Mytilus edulis: one gene and its partner. The protein of the gene in region 1 purifies or fractionates together with the protein of each later gene. This does not show direct contact. Links are inferred from orthologs where the notes say so. Each region holds a gene or a part of one and is shown in the gene's direction. Other genes may lie near its edges. The genes, in order: eukaryotic translation initiation factor 4 gamma 1-like and polyadenylate-binding protein 1-like.

Evidence for each region.
Region 2: the proteins of eukaryotic translation initiation factor 4 gamma 1-like (region 1) and polyadenylate-binding protein 1-like purify together in Drosophila melanogaster (affinity purification with western blotting; 3 studies listed by BioGRID, with this or other methods). This does not show direct contact. The link is inferred for Mytilus edulis from reciprocal best matches to the Drosophila melanogaster genes eIF4G1 and pAbp.

Annotation. Positions count from the first base shown.
Region 1 is NC_092356.1:41,478,279-41,489,270, forward strand, and holds the start of eukaryotic translation initiation factor 4 gamma 1-like, read left to right. Parts: upstream 1-5,744; 5' UTR 5,745-5,801; exon of another isoform or gene 5,802-5,877; intron 5,878-5,938; 5' UTR 5,939-6,014; coding exon 6,015-6,088; exon of another isoform or gene 6,089-6,711; coding exon of another isoform or gene 6,712-6,733; intron 6,734-7,628; exon of another isoform or gene 7,629-7,638; coding exon of another isoform or gene 7,639-7,663; intron 7,664-7,841; coding exon 7,842-7,870; intron 7,871-8,674; coding exon 8,675-8,769; intron 8,770-9,562; coding exon 9,563-9,706; intron 9,707-10,110; coding exon 10,111-10,290; intron 10,291-10,992.
Region 2 is NC_092355.1:9,890,162-9,900,748, reverse strand, and holds the start of polyadenylate-binding protein 1-like, read left to right. Parts: upstream 1-5,028; 5' UTR 5,029-5,284; coding exon 5,285-5,489; intron 5,490-6,360; coding exon 6,361-6,554; intron 6,555-8,646; coding exon 8,647-8,762; intron 8,763-10,587.

The DNA of each region.
Region 1 (10,992 bases):
ATTCTCAAAAGCTTTTTTTAAAAAAAAGCAGACAATGGTTGAAATGAGACATTTATTTAAATAATTTTAAAATTGTACAGATTCAACCTCCTTATCACTCATATCACATCATCTTTTCTTTATATTTTTTCAGTAACTTCATGAACTGATCATGAAGTTCCTGTATGAATTCTTCTCTGAAGTATATATACATGTAGTTGATACAGAGATATATCTAGCCTTTCTGCTTTAAAGTTCAGAACTGAAAATCTGATGGACAGCAACATTGCTAATTAATTCAAAGTAGCTGGACAAGCTAGTGGTCAGGGCCTTAAAAGAGTTGACAAATTGAGATGTTCAGACAGCAATGTAAATTTGTAAATTAGGCCATTTATTTTAATGTTTGAATTGTTTTATATTTGTTATTTCAGAACCTTTTATAGCTTGCTATGCAGTATTTGTTTTGCTCATTTTTGAAGACTGTATGTTGACTTAAAGTTATTAACTTGTTTTCCTTGGTTCTGGAGGAAATGTGTGTTGCTGATAATCAAACTAAATCTTCTTTATTTCTATATTACATGAAAAAATTCCATACTTGAAAAAAATTATATATAAACACAAGCTTTATATGCTTAACCAACATTTTTAGCAAGGAATAAAAATATTACCTTGCAATGGCAGCTGGCAAATTGGCAACTACAGTCTTAATTCAATCACAGTTTTCAGATTAGCATGGTTTTATATCCACCATTAACCGTCTAATAAAAAAAATTAAAAACAGATTATCATTTATATCTAAAAACTTGATTGAAATGGCTACTAAATCATGTTCACATTAAAATGCATGTTAAGCCATTTCAATTGATATCTTATAGTGTGTTTTCTATGTTGTGATGTTCCACTATAAACGTATTTACACTTTTGGTATTTAGCTGAATTTTGTCTCCAAATGACCGTAGATCGCCTCCGAATAACCTTTTGACGTCAAGCAACAATCACTTTTTCATGCGACGTCAAATTTTTTGAATTGTTATGTCAAAGTTTACAGGAACCTGTGTGATTCTACGTAATGGCGTACAAATTTGCATACAAGTTTAAATACGTCTATTGTTGCGGGTAAGGGTGAAGGTTGGTACTAATTAAAACGTTTAAACCTGTTGCATTTGTTTGCAGCTGTCCGAAGTCAGGGACCTGATATTCAGTAGTTGTCGTTTGTGTTTCTCCTTTTTGTTTATTTTTACACTAGATTCTGTTAGTTTTCCCGTTTAAACGGTTGTACACTTATAATTTTTGGGGCCCTTTATAGCTTACTGTTAAGTGTGAGCCAAGGCTCTGTGTTGAAGATCGTACCTTGACCTATAATGGTTTTCTTTTCCAAATTGAGACTTGGATGGAGAGTTGTCTCATTGGCTTTCAAACAACATCTTCTTATTGTGCATTCAGTTGAGAGAATTATAGATTATCTTTGATCATCTCAACGAGATTGATTTTCTCGCTTGAGCCGGGATAAATGATAATCTGTTTGTCGCTATTTTACCTATGACGACATTGTCAATTTCATGTCAATTTCATTAGTAACGCCACATGCCGCCTTAGTTTCTAGCGATAATTTTCCATCTCAAGCGAGTAGCATGATATGAAAAATTATCACAAAAAAAGATCAAAGGAAAAATGCACAAAATAGCAATAATAAATGTTAATGCAGATGTATAATAAATATTGATGACTATATATATATATATATGTATGTAAGAATGTATTCCACAACTGACTGACTTGGCTGAGACATGTGAGACTGACTAAATGGTAACCTAAAAAGTCACACCAATGGGGTTTGTGAAACAAAAATTTTGAACAGATATATCATGTTAAGGAGGGGTATTTGCGAAAAATACCAGTCGAGAGAATGTAAAATTTCTCGAGCCGTAAGGCGAGGGAAATTCATTCTCAAGACTGGTATTTTTCGCAAATACCCCTCAATAACATGATATATCTGTTTAATTACACCGAATGTTAATATACTAAAACGCATTGTTGACCGTGACGTTACAAGCGTCCAGTCGGATAGAGTATTTTTTGCAAATACCACGGCAGAGAGGGTAAAAAAGGCATATCCTTTTAGCAAATACCCCGGCGGCGTTAAAAATGAAGGATATTCATTTGATAACAGTAAATTGGTGAAAAATACTGGCTATCAACCAATCAAAACCCCGGATTCTTACATAAGGTGTAATTAACAGTGAAATTTCCCCATAACTCTTGAAGTAAGACTTTTAAAAGTAGAGAGAGAAAAGGGAGGAGGAATCTTAGACCTTTCATCAGCACTAGTCTTTGGATTAGTCAGAAATTTCTGTGTAAAGCAAATATTTAAATAATGCTTCATTTTGATAATTCACTGGCTCTTACACCATATTTCAAAAAAAAAAAGAGAACAAAAATACAACAAAACTTTGTCATTTTCATTTTAAGTATATTCTTGATTTGGTATTAGATATGTCAAAGTGTAGATACATGTATTTACGCACATTTATATATATATCTCTATTTTATTAAACAGTACATTTTTAAATATATATCTTGTGGCAAAACATATTATGCATATACATGATATAGTACCTGTGGTCAATTAAAATCAATAACAATATATTTTGGTAATTTATTACTGTACATCTATACATGTATAATGTCCTTAATTTAACTAACCATTGACCTAAAAGGTCACAATTAAATAATAGTATTCAGGTCATTATGCAAAAAATGTTCTAAATTATCTAACAAAAAATTGTTGTGGGGTTGTTTCAAAAGCCTGTTCACACATGTATAAATATACTGGTCTGGTTGCTAAATTGAGATCTTTAACAATCCAATGGTAGTTATTATTTTTAATCACTTGAAAATTATATAATATTGGGAAATATTTTTTAAATACTTTAATTTAAGTTTATGCTGTTTTATTTATTTTTTCTTTTGATACTGATATAATACAAATAAACATCTTTAGACGAAAAAAACATTGATTATGCATTTTTTATATCTTAAAGTAAAGTTAGCTACTATTTTAACTTTTGAAGGAATTTACCCCTAAAAAACTTAAACAGATCATAATGTTAGTAATTTCTATGGTTTTTTTTAATATATAATGCAAAAGTATAAGAAACTATTTACTTAGAAGGTTTTCTCCTTTTAAATCATAAAACAGCATGCTAACATTTTCTCAAATTTTAATGCATGTCATCCATTTTCCCCTTGAAATCAAAATATCTACTTTTTAAAAGATCTAAAAAAATCATATGTCATCAACTCTAATATGAAAAATATGACAATATAGATTATTTCAAGAAAACCAGTTACAAAAACCAGTTTAATGGTCTAGTGAAGACAGTTATGAAATATGACCCCTTCCAGGTCAATAAAATAACAAACCATGTAATCGAATTTTACATAATAAATCATCTCCATGCCAGGGGTCATGACCTTATGTAATTAGCTATCCTCATGCTAAGTATGTCCTCAACATGACACTTCTGTCAGTTCCCTGCCCCATGGGGATTGCAAATATACTTCCTGGAGATCTTACACTGATAAAATATTAAAATCAATAATACCCATTCATTAATTGCCTGCTAAAATATATTTGGTTAATTGTTCTAATTGTATCTCTGAAATTTGTGTCCTGCATTAGTCGTCATACTGTGAAATTTTAAGTTATTTCAAGATTGGCCAAATGGACACTGTGGAAGTACTGATAATATTGACCATATAGTTCCAGGCTAACATATTTAAAAGAGTACAAATATGGAGAGGCTGATGCAATAGTCCTGAGGGCTGTATAGCCAGTCAAGGTCATTAAAAAAAATTACAATTTCTAAAAAATATTTAATCAGACTGAAAAACAACATTAATAATAGTGAAACAGAGTTTTTTTCTCTTTACAAATTTTTTAACTATCGTTATCTGGTCTCAGCTGTGTGAAAAGTTTGAAAATTAACAATGCAAGTTTATGCAATCTTAAAATTTACTGACGACAATATTCACCTATATTCTTGCAATATCCCTTTACATATATTATAAGAAAATATATTAAATACAAAGTTGAAAATGCATTGAAATGAAATCTTGAAATGAAATCTTGAAATGAAATCTTGAAAAGTCAAAATCTCTGACCACAGACATGACAGGACCTCTGTCATTATTTGGTTTCTTAATATCATAGTTCTGACAAGACAGACATGGATAATTGCTCTGTGAGAAGAGACTATTGATATAAGCTGTCACCTGTGTTTACTTTCTTAACATACAATTCCTTGATTTTACCAAACAGTGTTGGAGAGTTTGAAGTTTTAAGCACGAAAAATTTAGTACATGTAGTACTCTAGCATGTCTAGTAATGCACAATTTTTTTTCTAAATCCTTGTCCCATGTTAAAAAAAATTTCTTATTATTAATGGACCTAATGAAAAAGACAGTCACAACCTATTTATAAAAGTATAAACTATGCAATTACATGTATTTTAAGAAGCAGCTAATACCCTTGTTGAAATCTTTAACAATGAATGGTTTGATATTGTCATGATTGTAATAAAATAACAACCATTTGTGATATATATATTTTAATTTATTTATATAATTTGTCTAAATATTAGCCTAACCAATGTTAGATTTATAAATTTGCTTTTGCAAATTTGTTGTTCTTCCCTTGTCGTGATTCAAACTCATGAGATATTGTGGCACCAAATCGCCTTGCACTATGCACAACGCTCTAAGACCACTGAACCAACTAGGCTATACAAAAATGATAGGCGGTGTTGTCATAGAAGTATGAAGTGAAAAGTACAGGTTCCAGCCCCGGCTGGGGAGGAAGAAAAGAATCAAATCTACTCTAACATCATGAACATTGTTAGGTTGATTTTCTAGGCACTTCATATATTTATATATATACACGTGTATCAACAAATCAACAACTTGCAACATAGACACCGAATCACACATGATAATTGGATCTTAAGTAATTGCAACTTATATTAGTCCCTCTCCACTTTGCCGGTGTGAGTGCTTCTCTTTTTTTGAAATCTACAAGAGTGTCTTTTATGCGGAGGCGGATTTAGAGGGGGGTCAGTGGGGCTCCCCCTTTTGAGAAAAAAATTTGGTTGATTATATAAGGAATACACCTTAACGCTATTCCCGGCTGACCCGGCCGCTTGAACTTTTGACGTCAACAACAATCACTTTTCGATTGTGGCTCAGATATTTTGTTTTATGACGTGAATATTCTACGGGAACCTATGTGATATCCAGTAATGGATGACAAATAGCGATAAGGTGTATCGTGGGGCCCCCTCTTAAGCAGCCAGTGGCCCCCACTTACGAAAAATTCTAGATCTGCAACTGTTTAATATGTGCAAGAAATATGGCTCTCTCTTAACACGGGTTAGTGCTATAACATATGACTTCACATTCTTATTCAATATTTAACGTTTGTATACTGATATTTTCATTTTTTTTTCTTTTTTAATGCGAATGTTTACGGTCTTGTGATTGTGAGTGTACCAAATACCCCCCTTTTTCTTGCACTCAACCTTTTTAACGTTTCAACGATTTCTCTTTACCTTCATCATTTGTCACTGATGTCAAAAGATCATGACAAAGAAACTCAGATTACCTTCTGTTATTATTAATTACTTTAAATCCGGAATTTAAAAAAAAACACTGACTAGTTGCAACTTCAAACAACAGAATTTATGGTAACCTTTGACCCTTGCCGGTAACCTCCGTAAAGTAACCGGAAATAGCCGAGCTACGTCTCCTTGCAGACCCTTAACAAGGTAGCCATACTTATTTACATGACTACAATCTTATGCCATCGTTGATTATCTGACCATCATAATAATCTAAAAACTAGTGAGTATGAAAATTGAATACACGAACTCTAACAAAAATGATTTTGTTTCAATTTATGTAGGAGACAGAGCTTGGGAAACAAGCATCGGAAGGGTCCTTTTCCAGGACTAAACCGCTTCCTTTTCACGTTGAATGAAATGTCGAATGTACCAAAAGTGAAATCACCTACACCATCTCAAATAACAGGACATACACAGCAAAGAAGTGTAACGTATCCTTTTTATGCATAGTCAACAATTTATTTTATGTACTACTTGGGTTAATTCATTTTATTTCATGTCAGTTTGCACGAGAACAGATGCCGGTTTTTCGTCCTGTCACGTTTGCAGTTTTCGGGACAACTTGTGTGAGAAATATCCAAGTTTATTGAACTATTGATTGCACATCTGATTTAAAATTGTGTTTTTGTTGTTTGTTTTGTTTTTTTCTGTAACATAATGTTCCGACAGCTCGTTATGAAGGCGGGGCTTTTCGAACGAGGAACCACATTCTTTGAGCGTGCACATATCACATGACATTAATTACGACATCATGGAAAAGATGAAAACACGAAACAGTGTTACAGTGTGTTATCAACAGTGTTTAGTTAAATATCAAAATGAATTTGGAAATTTTGGAATGTTTCTTGTGAATTTTCTTTAAAATAACCCTTAAATGATATTTAGGATTATTGACATGTGGTGATGTGTAATATTTGTCAGATATTGGATATTTGCCAAATACACAAATTATTAGTAGATACACAATAGTCTTTGTTATAATGATGAACAAAAGTGAAAATAATAACATACAATGGAAGCTGAATATAATGAAAAGCAACACTGATTAATAGATATGATCAAATTCCAGAAAGAAAGTAAGAATTCTTGTTTTGTTGTTTATGATGCCTTATTTATTGTACATTTGTTTGTTACTCCCAGTTATGGTTTTATATATAATTTCTTTATACCAGTAGCAGAGATATTTCTTTTTCTTTTATGAGTATTTTGTTGTTACATATTTTAACCTCAATCTGACCTGTATTTGTATAGATCTGTGTTCAGGGCATTTTATTGGAAAAACAGGCATTTTCAGAAAGTACAATGTCAGATTTATTTTTAGACATTGTCACATTATGATAAGGTAAAAAATAAGCTTTCAATTTGGAGACTACTTGGCATATCTACATGTATGTAATGTTAAGGTAATTTGAAGTTGCATCTTATGGAAGTAAAAATCGTGTTTAACATTTCCTGTTACGAATCTAACCAATCTTACCAACTTATTTTTTATGTACATACACACATGTAATTTAAAAAATGAGCTATTGGTTATTTGTTAAAAAAAATCTGATATCCAACCTCTTGAAACCAGTTTTGGGCAGTTTTTAAAATCTTGATTTTTGTTGGTTGACCTTATATGTAGTACATGAAACTGTCCCTCCCGATTATTAATCTGATTGATGGAACCTTAAAAATTGTTCACATTTGTTACCATGTCAGCTTTAAAACCCTTCGCCAATATTTAGTTCGTGTTCTTTAATCCTAAGAGAACAAAATGTCATTTTAATGTTAGATCCAACCTTATTCATTCAATGTTTTAGTTCAAGAATATTATAATATCTACAAAGTGTAAAGATGATATGTCCATGTGAATTAATGCAATTACATAACAGGTATTTCCACGTCAATAATAGTTAAAAATAAGGTATATGCACATCTGCAAATGTATTTAAAAAGCGATATGATTCTTAAACCTATTCCCTTTTGTAGCTCATGCTTTATGGGAAATTGTGTCAGTAAAAAGGGTAAGTTTATTCCCTTTGTTCCTTGTATGGTAGGGTGTCAGAGATATACTATTCTAGATTAAGAACTTGTATTATGTTGCGGGTACCAGGTTGCAAATTAAAAGCTTTGTTGTGCTAGCCTAGAAATGGGAAGATTTAAATATTTAAACTCATAGTCCTTTTCCTTAACCTTATACAGTCCAAGAGGAACACCAAATTATAACAATTGTAAGTATATATGTTTATGGTACAGTATGGCTGCATGCTTATTATAGGATCTGCTTTAATTAGAATATTTTCATTCTTGTGGGGGTAATATGGGTTTATATTTTGTAGTATCTGGACTTGTGCTCCTGAGTAACCTACGATGAGGAAGTAACCTTTCCATCGATCTGTTACTTTGCTCCTCAACTGTCAAAAGCTTTATGTTGTCACCTGGGTATTTCAGCTCACTCTCGGTATCTGTAATTTTCCATTTTGATCTTTTATAAGACGGACAACTATTTTTTTTTTTTTTTAAATAATGGAAGCATGTATGATCGACTTTGTAGACTAAAATCATATTATTTCGGAGGAACAACTTTTTGTGCAAGCTTCACTTCAATGCATTGTAACACCAGTGTACATCATCAGATGAAGATTGCAAAATTAGTTGTTTCATTAAAACATGATGATCTTTTGTTAATGATTTATCCGTTGGCACAGCTAGACTGATAGGACATCCATACCACACAGATGTTATGGGAAGAAAATTGACTGTTAAAAAAAAAGTTTACGTCTGTCTTCTGAGTTACATGTACCACATACCCATACCCACCAGCTCAGGATTAAAAAAATCTCTATAGGCCAATAAATTGAACTTCATGCCCAGGGCCAATGGATTCTAAAGTTGTTCAAGATTCTGCTACATACATAGAATATGTGTGTATTTACACATGAGGAATGACCCCTTGCGAGTTTGTGATACTTGTATGTCTCGCAGACATTGTCCAAAAGATCAATGAAATAATGTTAAGGCATGATTTGTTTTAGGGGTACCACAAGAGGAGCAAGTACAACAGCAACAACAGCAGCCACAGTTTTACATTTCTCAACAAGGGTATTTTAATCCACAACAGGTGCAACAGGTATGTATCGATGTGTATATTTTGTTAAGAGCTGATTGCATTGAGTAAGTAGGTAAAGGTAATAACTTTGGTTAGCTTGCTTGCTAGCTGAACCATAGCCATTAGTAGGTTAGGTAAACCACCCTTCTTTAAGAGTAGACTAGTCCGACATATAACCAATCTATCTGTCTGTAGGACACGGCTACTAACAAAGGAGGGTAGTATATTTTAACTAATTATGACTTCACGCTTAACCACAAGTCCTACAGCAATGGCTTGTGAAATTCTTCTCTTCACGCCAACAAAATCCAACTAAAAATTTGTTAAAATTGAGCTTCAGGCTTGTGGATTCAAATGTTTAGCATGAAGACTGGAGCAAGTAAGCTAGCTAAAGATATTACTTTAACTTACACACTCAATGCAAATAAAATGTATTTTTTCGTAAGAGAAGCATTGAACTTATTATTTGTATTTATTATAATTTTTATGTACTATTTTGCCATTGATGTTTAACACTTGATTTAATATTCAAAAGTTAGCAGAATATATTTATATGTAATATTTGTACTAAATGAGACAATTACCTTTTTTTGCTCATGTGTGAATTGTAAGTTGTACTGTGCATAAAAATTAGAAAAATATGCACTTATATTGGGAAGCTCTTAATTAACATCTTGGATATAAATTTCAGTTTTCTACTCTAATCTATTTGATGCTGCATGATGGGGAAAATATGAAAAAAATAACGTGTTATCGCGTATGAGATAACTGTCCACCAGACCAAATGATAAAATGGGTATCTACTTTTTTACAGCAATTTCTTCAACAACAGGTGAACCCACAACAGAACTATCCCCATGATATAAGTAAACAATTGAATAATCAACAGTTGGTACAAGGCCAAGCCCTGGCTCAGCAACAAAACATGTATCAACAACAACAACAAAGGACACCAGCAGTATGTATATACATTTGTAGCTTACAGCATAGTTCCTTGCATGGTCTGCTCTACAGTAATTAAATTGCTTTTATGCTTTTGGGCAGCTTTTTAAATCAAGATAAAATATTTTAATTTTACAGAAAATTACTTTGCAAGATTAATAGTTTGAAGTTTAATACATGTACATGAATTATGACCTTGAACTAATTATTCCTCGTAATCATTTTTGTACAATCTGAATCAAAGGTTTATGTCGTGCAAATTGGTAAATATTATTCCAAAAAGAAGATATTTTGCATTCACAAGTTTGTGCATTATATAAAACCTCTTCTTGACAATATTCATACAAAAAATCTGTAAAACAGACCAGTCATTTCAATTTATCGACTCTTGTTTATCATTAACACTGTTTATTATTTCAGCCCTTTTACCCACAACGGCCTATGCAGCCTCCTCAACAGCAGAGGATGCAGATGCCAGGACAGGGACAGAATCCGATGTATCCAACTGTTATGTTCATGCCTCCAAGTACCAACATGAATAGTTATGGAACACAGATTATTGTTCAGTCTCAGCCTGGAGGACAAATGCAGCCAATGATGGTAAGATTTATATAGAAATAACATTATAATACTTAAAAAAAAAGATGTGGAATGATTGCTAATGAGACAACTCTACAAGAGACCAAATGACACAGAATTCACAACTATAGGCCACTGTATGGCATTCAACAATGAACAAAGCCCATACCGCATAGTCCGCCATAAATTTGCCCTAAATGACAAGTGTAAAACAACTCAAACTAAAAAAAAACATATACATAGCACACATTAGTATAAAAAGTCAAGTATGATAATAATGTTCAATACAACTTGATAAAATGTTATGAAAAAATTAATGTGATGACATGATCAGTTTTCAATATTTTTTATACAATTGCTCCAGTTTTTTGTTGGGTCATTAAAAGGAAACCACAAATGATAAGTCCATGATATTTGGAATGCAGTTGTATTAACATTTCCATAAAGCTTATTTTGCCCACACCCTCGGTCATGACGAATTTGACCTTGACATTTGTGTCAAGTTTACATGTTGAAGTTAAAGATAAGAAAGTTTAACTTTAACCCTTTCAACGCTATACACGGCATATGCCGCGATGACATACGCCGTCCGCCACTGCTATTCGCGGCATATGCCGCGATGACAACGGATTTTTCATAAGGACTCTTAAACCATTCGGTTTTCATTCGGGTCCTCTCTAATTTTTCCTTGTATGAATCGAGGATATGCAAGGTCTCATTTGC
Region 2 (10,587 bases), on another chromosome or scaffold:
CAAAGACAAATAAAAGGAACATCATAGCAGGTATTTAAGATGATAAATCAGCCTAGAATACTGACTTCAAGATCTAGACCATCATGTATTGTTTATGAAGTTGATACGGAATATCTATCAACAAGTTGAAGGCTTTGGTTTCGTCCAATGAACTTTTTTCGATAAAGCACGATACATTCTTTGACATAATCCTGGTTTGTCAGCTTTGTGCTCATGCACTTGTGACGTTTTATAAAGTCTAAGTAGCAGCTGCAAGCTCTTAAATACCAAACGAGTTGTGAAAGCTGGTGAAGCGCCGTTAAGATGTCAGTTGAAATACCTCACCCCTTGTATTTATTAGGTATATATATTTTTGTTAGTTGCGAATTGATATTTGTATCAAGTTGAACCAATTCTTTCAATCTGTCTTACGATCAGAAGAAAAGTACAAATAACACATCATAGTCATAAAATTTTAGTCTGGGCAACACAGACACCACTCAATAAAATTGAGAATGGAAATGGGCAACAACCCGACCATAGAGCAGACAACAGCCGAAGGTAACTAATGGGTCTTCAATGTAGCTGGCCCCTATACAACTATGCATACTATTTCAGTGATAATGGACGTCATACTAAACTCCGAATTATACAAAAGAAACTAAAATTAAAAATGATACTAGACTAACAAAGGCCAGAGGTTACTGACTTGGGACAGGCGCAAAATTGCGGCGGGGTTAAACATGTTTTTTTTTGGAGATCTCATCTATCGTCTATATACCTCTAGCCAATGTAGAAAAACAAACGCACAACAATAAAACCGGAATGAAAACCATTGAAAATTATAAGATTTTTTGGAAATTAACACTACACAGTAAGCCATCTTGCAACCTTTCATAATTTTCATTAAAATTAAAAAATATATCCATAAATTCTTAAAGGAACCACAAAAATAGTCTAAGCCTTTTATTGAGTAATGAAATGCTACCCTTCCAAACCGATGTAAACAAATGCCAGTTCCAAGCCTTCTTTACATTTTCAAGTGAGAGGTTAAGCAAGCTATAAGTCATACAAGGCCAGGTTTAATCCACATAAAAAAATGCCGGTACCAAGTCAGGAATATGACAGTTGTCATGAAAGGTTGGCCCAAAAGGAGGGTGGAGGTGCCGGGTCCATTATGTTGGAAACATTTGTTTGATTACATAGGGAATCACAGAGGCATGGCTGGAGCAGCCCACCCTTAGGAAAGTCAGTGGGTACCCCTTATAAAAAGTTCCGGATTCGCCTGGTTGTTGTGATATCCATTCCTTTGGTGTGTTTCAGCTTTTGATTTTGCCGTTTGATGAGGGGGCAATAGGGTTAACAACACCTCAATTTTGACAAAAATAATTAACAAAAAATTTAAAATGCTGAGTACAGTTAACACCAGCTTTAATCTACACTTTTTTCCCAAATAAACACAAAAGCAATGAAAAGGGGAAATGCACACCTTCAATGAGTTCAGAACCACTGTACAAAGTGGCAGAAATGCAAAGACCTAATGAATCTTTAATAAAGATGATAAAGTTTCAGGTTGCACACAACTACCATTTCTTTTATGCTGGACACATGAACAGACAATTGAACGGATCGAAAGGCAGACGGAGTGCTAGAAAAATGACTATACGCAGTCATGAAAGGCCTCACCAGCCATGCATATTCCAATTTTTCAGACATGAATTATCGATTCTCTGGTTATGTGTATTTTTGTGTTTACGTTTTATTTCAATCAGTTGAAGCAAACCTTGGTAATCGTGCAACGTATGAAAGTGTGACAGACAGACAGAGTTATTACAATAAGGTCTAACCATTATGGTTGGGACCCTAATAAATTATGGGTACATATCGGTGTATTCATACGACTCGTAGCTTATAAGCTTTTATAAAAATGAATTGAAAAGATTACTGATTTTTATTGCAAATAATTAAAATCAATGTATAAATCACCAAGTACCCTGTAAGGTGTCACAAGATTCTTCCATCTAAACGTCCCAAGAACTTATAGCTTATATAGAAAAAGACTTTTGTCCATCTTCACATTTCTGAAGGTAGCAAGTTTGGCATCAATTTGAGAACCAAGTCCTGATGTGTCTGCCTCTTCTAACAGGTCTCACTGTTCAATTATTTTTCGAATTGCAAATTCAAACAGTACAGTTTATTTTTCCGACACAACTCCATTACGGTGCTCTGGGTCAATGTAACTTATCACACTTTCTGTATCATCTTGAATGATTTTATCTTGGGACTGACCAGGGTTTTAGCTGGGTGTGAAGTGGCCCCTGCTGTTAACTTTGGATCAATTATTAATAGGAGACAGAAATGAACTACATGGGACCCGGTTAGAAGTATAGGGGGAGCGTTGATATGTTAACAATTTTGTGGAACCTCAGCCATATATACCTCTTGATTTTTTTGTCAATTTTGATTCGTTTCGGACTTTATTGTAGTGAAGTCCATTTTATATGAACTAGTTACCCGGGTATTCCCTTCTTGCTTGAATTTAAAATGATTGCTCTCTTAAAATCAGCTTCTGGCGTAGGATTCTCTCGTTGTGTTGAAGACTCGTTTTAGTTTTGCCATGGGCTGTTTTCTGACTCTTTTGGCGGGTTGTTGCTTCTGAGACATTCCCCCGATTTCCATTCTCAATTTTATCAAGGATTACTATAAATCTCAAAGATCTCCAAATTAAGACAGTACTTAACATATTAGAGGGGGGATAGGAGGGGTCCTGATCCCGAAATCCCGGAGTTAAAAACACCGCGAAATCCCGAAATCCCGGGCTTAAAAACATGAAATCCCGAGGTCCCGAAATTCGAAAAAAAGAATTCCCGGATCCCGAAAGGGTCAATCCCGAAATCCCCAGCTTAAAAACACCCGATCCCGGAGTCCCGATAAAGGTCCTATCCCCCCTATATTAGTCCAAATAATTATGACTTCTTGAAAGGATAAAAATTATATTTAATGTGATTAGTTTGAATCTTAACTTTGACATTCTTGTAAATAACAGTGAAGATCAGTTCACAGAGACAAATTATGTCAAAAACAGTGAACACTTTAACAGTTTAAGTGTCAAGTAACATATTTATAACAGGAGTCCCATTTTCAATAAAAAAAGCAGAACAGATAACAGACAGTGGGTTAGAAACAGTTAACTATTCAATTTTATCTCAAATAACCGCAGTTAACAACACCTTAAAAAAGGTCAAAACAGGTTAACATAAAAAGGTATTACCCTCCTTTTTGATTAGCCCATACACGTAGCCAGGGGAGGGGGATTCGGACGACCCTCACCCTTGAAAACAAATAAGTTATAGTTATTGACCAAGCAAGTCGGTATATAGAATTTAATCTGCACAGCTCAGGTGACCCTTATCCCGAACGACGTTTTAGATGTGGACGATTTTTTTTTATTTAATAAGTGACGATTAAGACTTTGACAATTTGAGTACCTTCAAATCGTTGTATGAAGAAAAAAAATCATAACTGAAAGGGTTATTGAGTTTAGGTTAATTGCTTTTGAATATCTTTCCATCAATGATGTGCTTTAAATAATAGAGAAAGATAAACCGAGGAAGATGTTATATTACCTAAATTTTAAATGTTGAATAAACAGAAAATACGTTTTTCTTTCCAATCTTTTCCTCCCCCTCCCCCAAATTTCTTTGTATCTACTGTATTAATTTTTAAGACACGTCCATCTAAATGAAGTCTGATTGATCTCCAGCTAGGAATAGATATTGAAAAAGTCGTTATATTAAATTCCATTGAGTCTAAAACTAATCCAAATCAGATTTCTTTTATTCGGATATTCTTAGATTCATTTCGAATTCTTTTTTGGCGGAAATGACCAAACATTGTTTTAACTCTCTTTCTGACTTTAAAACACTGATTTAAGATTTATGTTTTACGCAAAATATAATAAAAATTTTATGTTCAAGCTAAGATGAAAAAAAAAAGGAATGAGAAACCTTTCTTTTTTCCTATTTTGAAACTACGATGTTTGTACAAAGTTAAATTTTGTCGCAATTTCAAGGCAGAAGTCGGATTCGGGGGTGGGGACGAACATGTCGTTCACCCTAGGATTCACGGGACAAAGTATCGTGTTTTGCCTTAAAATCGTCAATATTGTTTTAGTCTCGCTACACTCGGTGATATATTTTTTTAATTTGATAGAATAACGCCCCTGTCAACATCTAGGAACCGCCCCTAAAGGTAAAAATATATTTGAACTGTGCAGTATATCTGAGGTAGTTAATGCACACCTTTGCTGTGCATTATCCAGATTATAGTACAGTAAGAACAAAGAGATTTTGCCCATGTCATGTGTTAAGCACTGTTAAAGTCAACGTTCTGTTCGAATTGTGACTGTTAAAGTTGAGTTCGCGAGTCCAAATAATCCCCCTTTGGAAATTCCTGGCTGTAGACTTTCCGTTTTTAATTTTCCATGGAGTTTAGCATTTTTGTGATTTTTTTTATTCCAGTTCTTGCAGATTAAAAAAAAAAACCAGTTAAAACCAAGTTTAAAGATCTTTAAAAAAAACTTTTTTTTTACTTCTAATTTTGCAATTTTGCATTGATTCATGTTCCACTTATTACATAATGTATGTCAACATCTAACAACTCCCCACGGTAAATGTTGGTGGTCGATTAACTCATTGACCACAAACAATAGGGACCAGGATGAAAAGATTGACATGCTATTAAAAATGTTAAATAAAATTGCGTCATATACATGACCGTAAAACACGTGGATTAAAAGGGAGATAACTCTAATGAATCGGCGTAGTAATATTACACGTCACAATTTGAAAAAAAAATTGGTGGAAATTCTTTGGAAATTTTCCTTCAATAAAGAATAATTCTTCATACTGAGTACAAAAATAAAAGTTTACGTTTCGAAAATTATTGAAAGAGTAGAAAATGATAACTTGCCAGTGGTTTAATGATATCGATTTCGTTTCGATATTCTTGGATTATTTGAGTGTAGGATTATCCGGTTTCAAATGATATATAGATCGCGGCAATTTACCTCTCCTATCCCTCTTCTCAAATCGTGAGGTTGCCGTGTGTTGTGTGCGAAAAGTTGTCTCACACAACACTTAAACTGGAAGAAATTAAGCTAAAAAACTTTTAAAAAATACAAAAAAATTGAAAAAGTAACAAAACTATTAAAAAAACTACTGAAACGGTAGGTTTGTGATAGAACAGAAGCGAAAACAACTTATTTCTTCTAGCAATCAACAGCGCCATATTTTAACCTCTGAAAATGACGACTAATATCAATCCGGCTGGAGCAAGTTACCCAATGGCTTCATTGTACGTAGGAGATCTTCACCCAGATGTCACCGAAGCTATGTTGTTTGAGAAATTTTCAACAGCAGGTCCAGTCCTCAGTATCCGTGTCTGTAGAGATATGATCACAAGACGTTCACTTGGTTATGCTTATGTCAACTTTCAGCAGCCAGCAGATGGTAAGATATCCAAAGTTGTATATCTGATAACACATTTACATTTCCATGTATTCAAATTGTGATCATTCATACATTTCAATTTCACAGTCCTTAGACCAGACACATGACAGATTGTCAGTGGCAATTAAGTCAATGTACCTCCGACCTACATTTTTTGTACTCTCACATGTTTAAAAAAAAAAGTAGAATTAAAATTCAAACCCACTTAAACAATACCATTATCACAAACATAAGTCTCAAGTTAAGGTGGTCCAATTGCCCTGATGAGTTAATGCCGTATTCAGACAAGTAAAAACATCATCTTGGTTGTCAGATCAAGCTAGAAGTGTTACATGATTAAAATTTCACAAAATCAATAGTGTCTGCTGTTTAGTACATAGATAACTAGGTGATGACACTGCACGGTCTTAACCCCTTCAAATCACGAATGCATATTTTTCGTTTTTTGTTCGCACTGAATCTTCCATTTTTCCAAAAATAAATTATGTTTAAAAACACTGGCCAATCAGCTGCTGTGGCGTTGCTTTGTCATTATTGTTTTCATTCAAGACACCACTTAGGCCTTTCCGACCAACATATTTTTCCAACTGACCGTTGGAAAGCGGACTTCTATTTTCGTTGTTCTAATTTGGAATTTTAAAGTTGGAAGTACATGTACCTTAAAAAAATATTTCATTGACAAACTGTTTTCACTAACAAGAATAAATTTATATGTCATGTGTACGTACAAAATGTAAAATTCAAGGTTTTTATAAACTTGTAAAAACTAATACAAATGTACATGTTATCAGGTTTGATTGTGAATGTCTTTTCTGAAATTGAATCTTGACACAAAATATGCAGGCTGAACATACTCGTGTATCTTTTGCAGCTGAGAGAGCTCTTGACACAATGAACTTTGACACCATCAAAGGTCGACCAATAAGAATCATGTGGTCACAAAGAGATCCATCTCTGAGAAAATCTGGTGTTGGCAACGTATTCATCAAGAATCTTGACAAAAGCATTGACAATAAGGCATTATACGATACATTCTCTGCCTTTGGAAATATTTTATCCTGTAAGGTAAGAAAACTGTTAAGTAATGGATTTTATTTTTGTTGACAGGTGAGAGTAAAAAAATTATGTTGTGAAAATTGAAGGCAGGGGCGGATTCAGGAATTTGGAAAGGGGGATGCGAAGTTGTTAAAGATTGCCAAGCGGAGCGAGTCGAAAAAATTTTGGGATCTTTTTTTCCGTTAAAAAACATGAAATAAGGAGTATAAAAAATTGTCCAACCCTTACACTTTACCGCTACTATAGAATATACATGTACATGCCCCACGTCAGGAACCGTTTAAAAAGTGCATTTTACACTGTTTTCTCCCTGTTAATTGTCTATCATAAAGATAATGATAGTATATGGATTCAAAGCTACGTACTTATATATTTGATGTGGGACTTGTCAGTAAAAAATAAACATGAAACACTCCGGGCTATTTGATGAAATTAACAATTCTACCGACACAAGTTAAAATAGTCAAACAAGCAATCTTTATCCAAATGTTTGGTTGATATATTTCACCCAACAAAATTAAGGGAAGTGAGGGGTTCCAAAATAAACCAAAGGTTACAAATGAGTCTGAAATGATAACTAATTTATGAATGACGGTCGACAAATTTAGACATAAAGGCCTCACTCAGCAAGCAGATTGCAGTCTGGTCTTGAAAGTATTCAATATATCAGCTCGGCTAAACAGACGTTCAGGTCAGACATGCAAACCCTGACCTAAAAAAAATACATTTTTATTCATTATGTTCATTTAATGCTAAATAATTCTGTTGGAAATTTCCATTTCTAATATCTCACAAAAGTTGACAAGATTATTGTTTTCAGTTCAGATACGACCAGAATTCTTATTTAATTCACAAATCAGAGTCAATTTTTTTTCTCTCAAATACCTTGGACTGCCTCCTCATATCTGATGGTTTGTACCTTCGACTTTAAATCTATATATAGAGCTTATATTGACTGGGGAACATAATTTAGCTATCATGTCATTTTAAAATAGGCTTGGGCATTTGGGATTAAGCATGTTTTCGTAGGTAAATAATATTGCTGTGGATTTTTTTTTGAGTGTGTGTTAGAGTATTACTTTCTGTTTGGTTGAATTGTGAAACAGAAGTCACAACGTTCTTGCTCAATCCTGCGCCGCTTTGAAGGTATCATGGTTGTCATTCTTAGCTTTTAAAGCAATGTGTAACTGTAATTTGAATTTCAAAATGACCGAGTGACGTTTTATTTTTTATTTTTGACACAGCAGTGAACTCCACCATCATGATCATAGCAAATAACATGACTTTGACATGATTAGTAATTATCCGAGACAAATATCTTTATAAGTAAAGAATTGTCGCTTGAAAATCAAATACACGGGAAATGGCAAAGTTCACGAAGTCTAGTCTAATTAATCATTTTACAAAAAAAAAAAGCAAAGGAAGGGGGGGGGGGTGCCCTCTATGCCCCCCTCTTGATCCACCATTTCAATAGGTGGGTATCTCCACAGATAAAAATGACTAAGAACCATGTTACATGAACACAAAAAAAATTAAAATGAAAAAATAAGGCCGTCTAAATATAAAGATCTTTGTAAAATAAAGGAATTTATCACAGGAATTTATCACAGGCATTTGTTTCTGTCAAAAATTTTCAATGTGTTTGCTTCAACCGATATTTATTAACTTTCCCTTGCATTTTTCATGCATAGTTAAACATACACCAGTTTGTGGGTAATTGATTTATCTCTGCAACAAAACATGGTTCATGTCCCTTGAGAAAACCCCTCAAACAGAGTAACACACTTATGTCGAAAATTATTGACCTTTTCCAGACCATTGAATTTTTAATTCCAAAACTTCTGGTTAACTTCAGAAGTTTATAATATCACCTTGCAACCCCATTGGTCACATTTTCTAGTTACTGGTAACTAGTATAATTAAACAGGTAACCAGATTAATTTGACTAATCAGATTGCACAATCATATTAACTTCCTAAGTTGACCAGAAGTTTTGGAGTTACAAATTCAATTTTCTCGAAAAAGGTCAATAATTGAATAACTTTCGTTATACATGCGTTATTCTGTTACTATATGTAAGTTTTGGAACATTTATTTTTAGATTGTCTGTGACGAGCATGGATCACGTGGATACGGATTTGTACATTTTGAGACTGAGGAAGCCGCCAGAAATGCTATTGAAAAAGTAAACGGCATGTTGTTGAATGGAAAGAAAGTGTAAGTTTTCTTTGTAATCATTGGTTGTGTATAGAGTATATAAATGCGAAAATTAAAAGCTCAGTTTGAAAAAGTTGAAAACTTGTGCTTTTGATTTCTTCATTATTATGCCCCTTTGTACTTGTACATAGGGCCAATTAAAATTAAATGGTAGATTTTCATCCCCGCCCGCCCCTTTGAAATCTTCCCGCCCCGATTTTTTTTATTTTTGAAAAAAATACGATTTCCGGATTTTGTTCATTTCCGATACCAGTATAAACCGTCGATAATTTCGTTTCATCTAAAACTTCCTGTTTCAGATTTCGGTTTTCGTATTTCTTAGCGTATTCTTACTGAATGATTCAGTCGATATATTCTGCTGATCTTTGATGACAACATCATTTACCGAGAATAGAGATTGATTACGAGAAGGGCTTGAAATATTCGGGTTACAAGTAATACGCTGTGCCCAAGAACGCAAATCGCCGTATGTCACACATGTTTGTGAGTAAAACAACTTGGATTTATTTTATTAAATGACTTTGTGTGAAGAAATTTGGACTGTGAATAAAACACAAAAACGTTAGAATCGTTGAACACATTTGACTGGAATAAAGAAATTAGCACAAGCATGAACCTTTTAGATTGGTGACCGTACATTGAGTTAAACAAATCGACAAACATATGCATTTTTAATTTATTAATTGATAGCAAGCTCTTAGATTTAGATTTAGCCTTAGTTTCGTTTTTTTGCAGAAATAGAGAAAACATCCTCTGTCCCAATACCCACGATAGAGTCATTAAACAACTTTATTTTCTACATTGTAATTATATTTGCATCTTGCATATTAAGGACCAATCCTATTATTTAAACACTGTTTGAGTTTTCATTTTATTCTGTACTTATGGTACTTGTGTTGCATACCAATGCATTTGCTTCATTTTATTAGGACAACAAAACATTGCAGAGAAAGCAAAATACATTTGATGTAGGTAGTCCAACTGAAGAGAACATTTCTCCACACTTCTGCTGTTTACTATAAAATAGGTTTCTAAACGGCAATTACATGTAGAACAGATCAGAGATATATATTTATGAATTTGAAAAAAGCGGCACCAGCATATGGAGTATATGTGTCTCAATTGATATGTTACTCTAGAGCTATAGCTCAAAGTACGTTGATTCTGTTGAACGAGGAATACTGCTTTCTCAAAAGTTGCTAAGACAGGGCTATGAATCAATCAAATTAAGGTCATCACTCAAGCAATTTTATGGTCGCCATCATGAGCTGATTGGCCATTATGACAAAAGTGTGTCAGAAATCATATCTCAGTGATAGTCTTCCTCAGTCATAACAACCTTTCATCATTACCGAACTGAACAAAGAAATAACATGACGGGTGCCGTATACGGTGCAGGAAATGCTTTCCCTTCCGAAGCACCTGATTTCACTCCTGGTTTTTTAATAGTGGAGTTTGTGTTGTTTCCTACTTATTATTTGTAACTGTTGATGTAAATGTCTTTTGGTTTTTTATGAGTCTTTGGTTACTCCTTGGTTTTGATTGTTATTGTCTTATACACGATACCTTATGAATGTATTTACATGATATAAGCTTATTATTACACTTGCATATATGAATAACACCTGACAAGAAAGTTTCATATGAAATAAAATTTAAAAAATAAAATCCTCCCACCCGCCCCATTTTTTTCAAAAATTTGGATGAAAATCTACTAATTAATTTTAGTTGGCCTAATGCTTCTTACCACAAAACACAGATCCTTAATGAATTTGGTGTCCCATTTATGGATTTAGAGTTATGTCCCTTTACAAACGCTTAAACA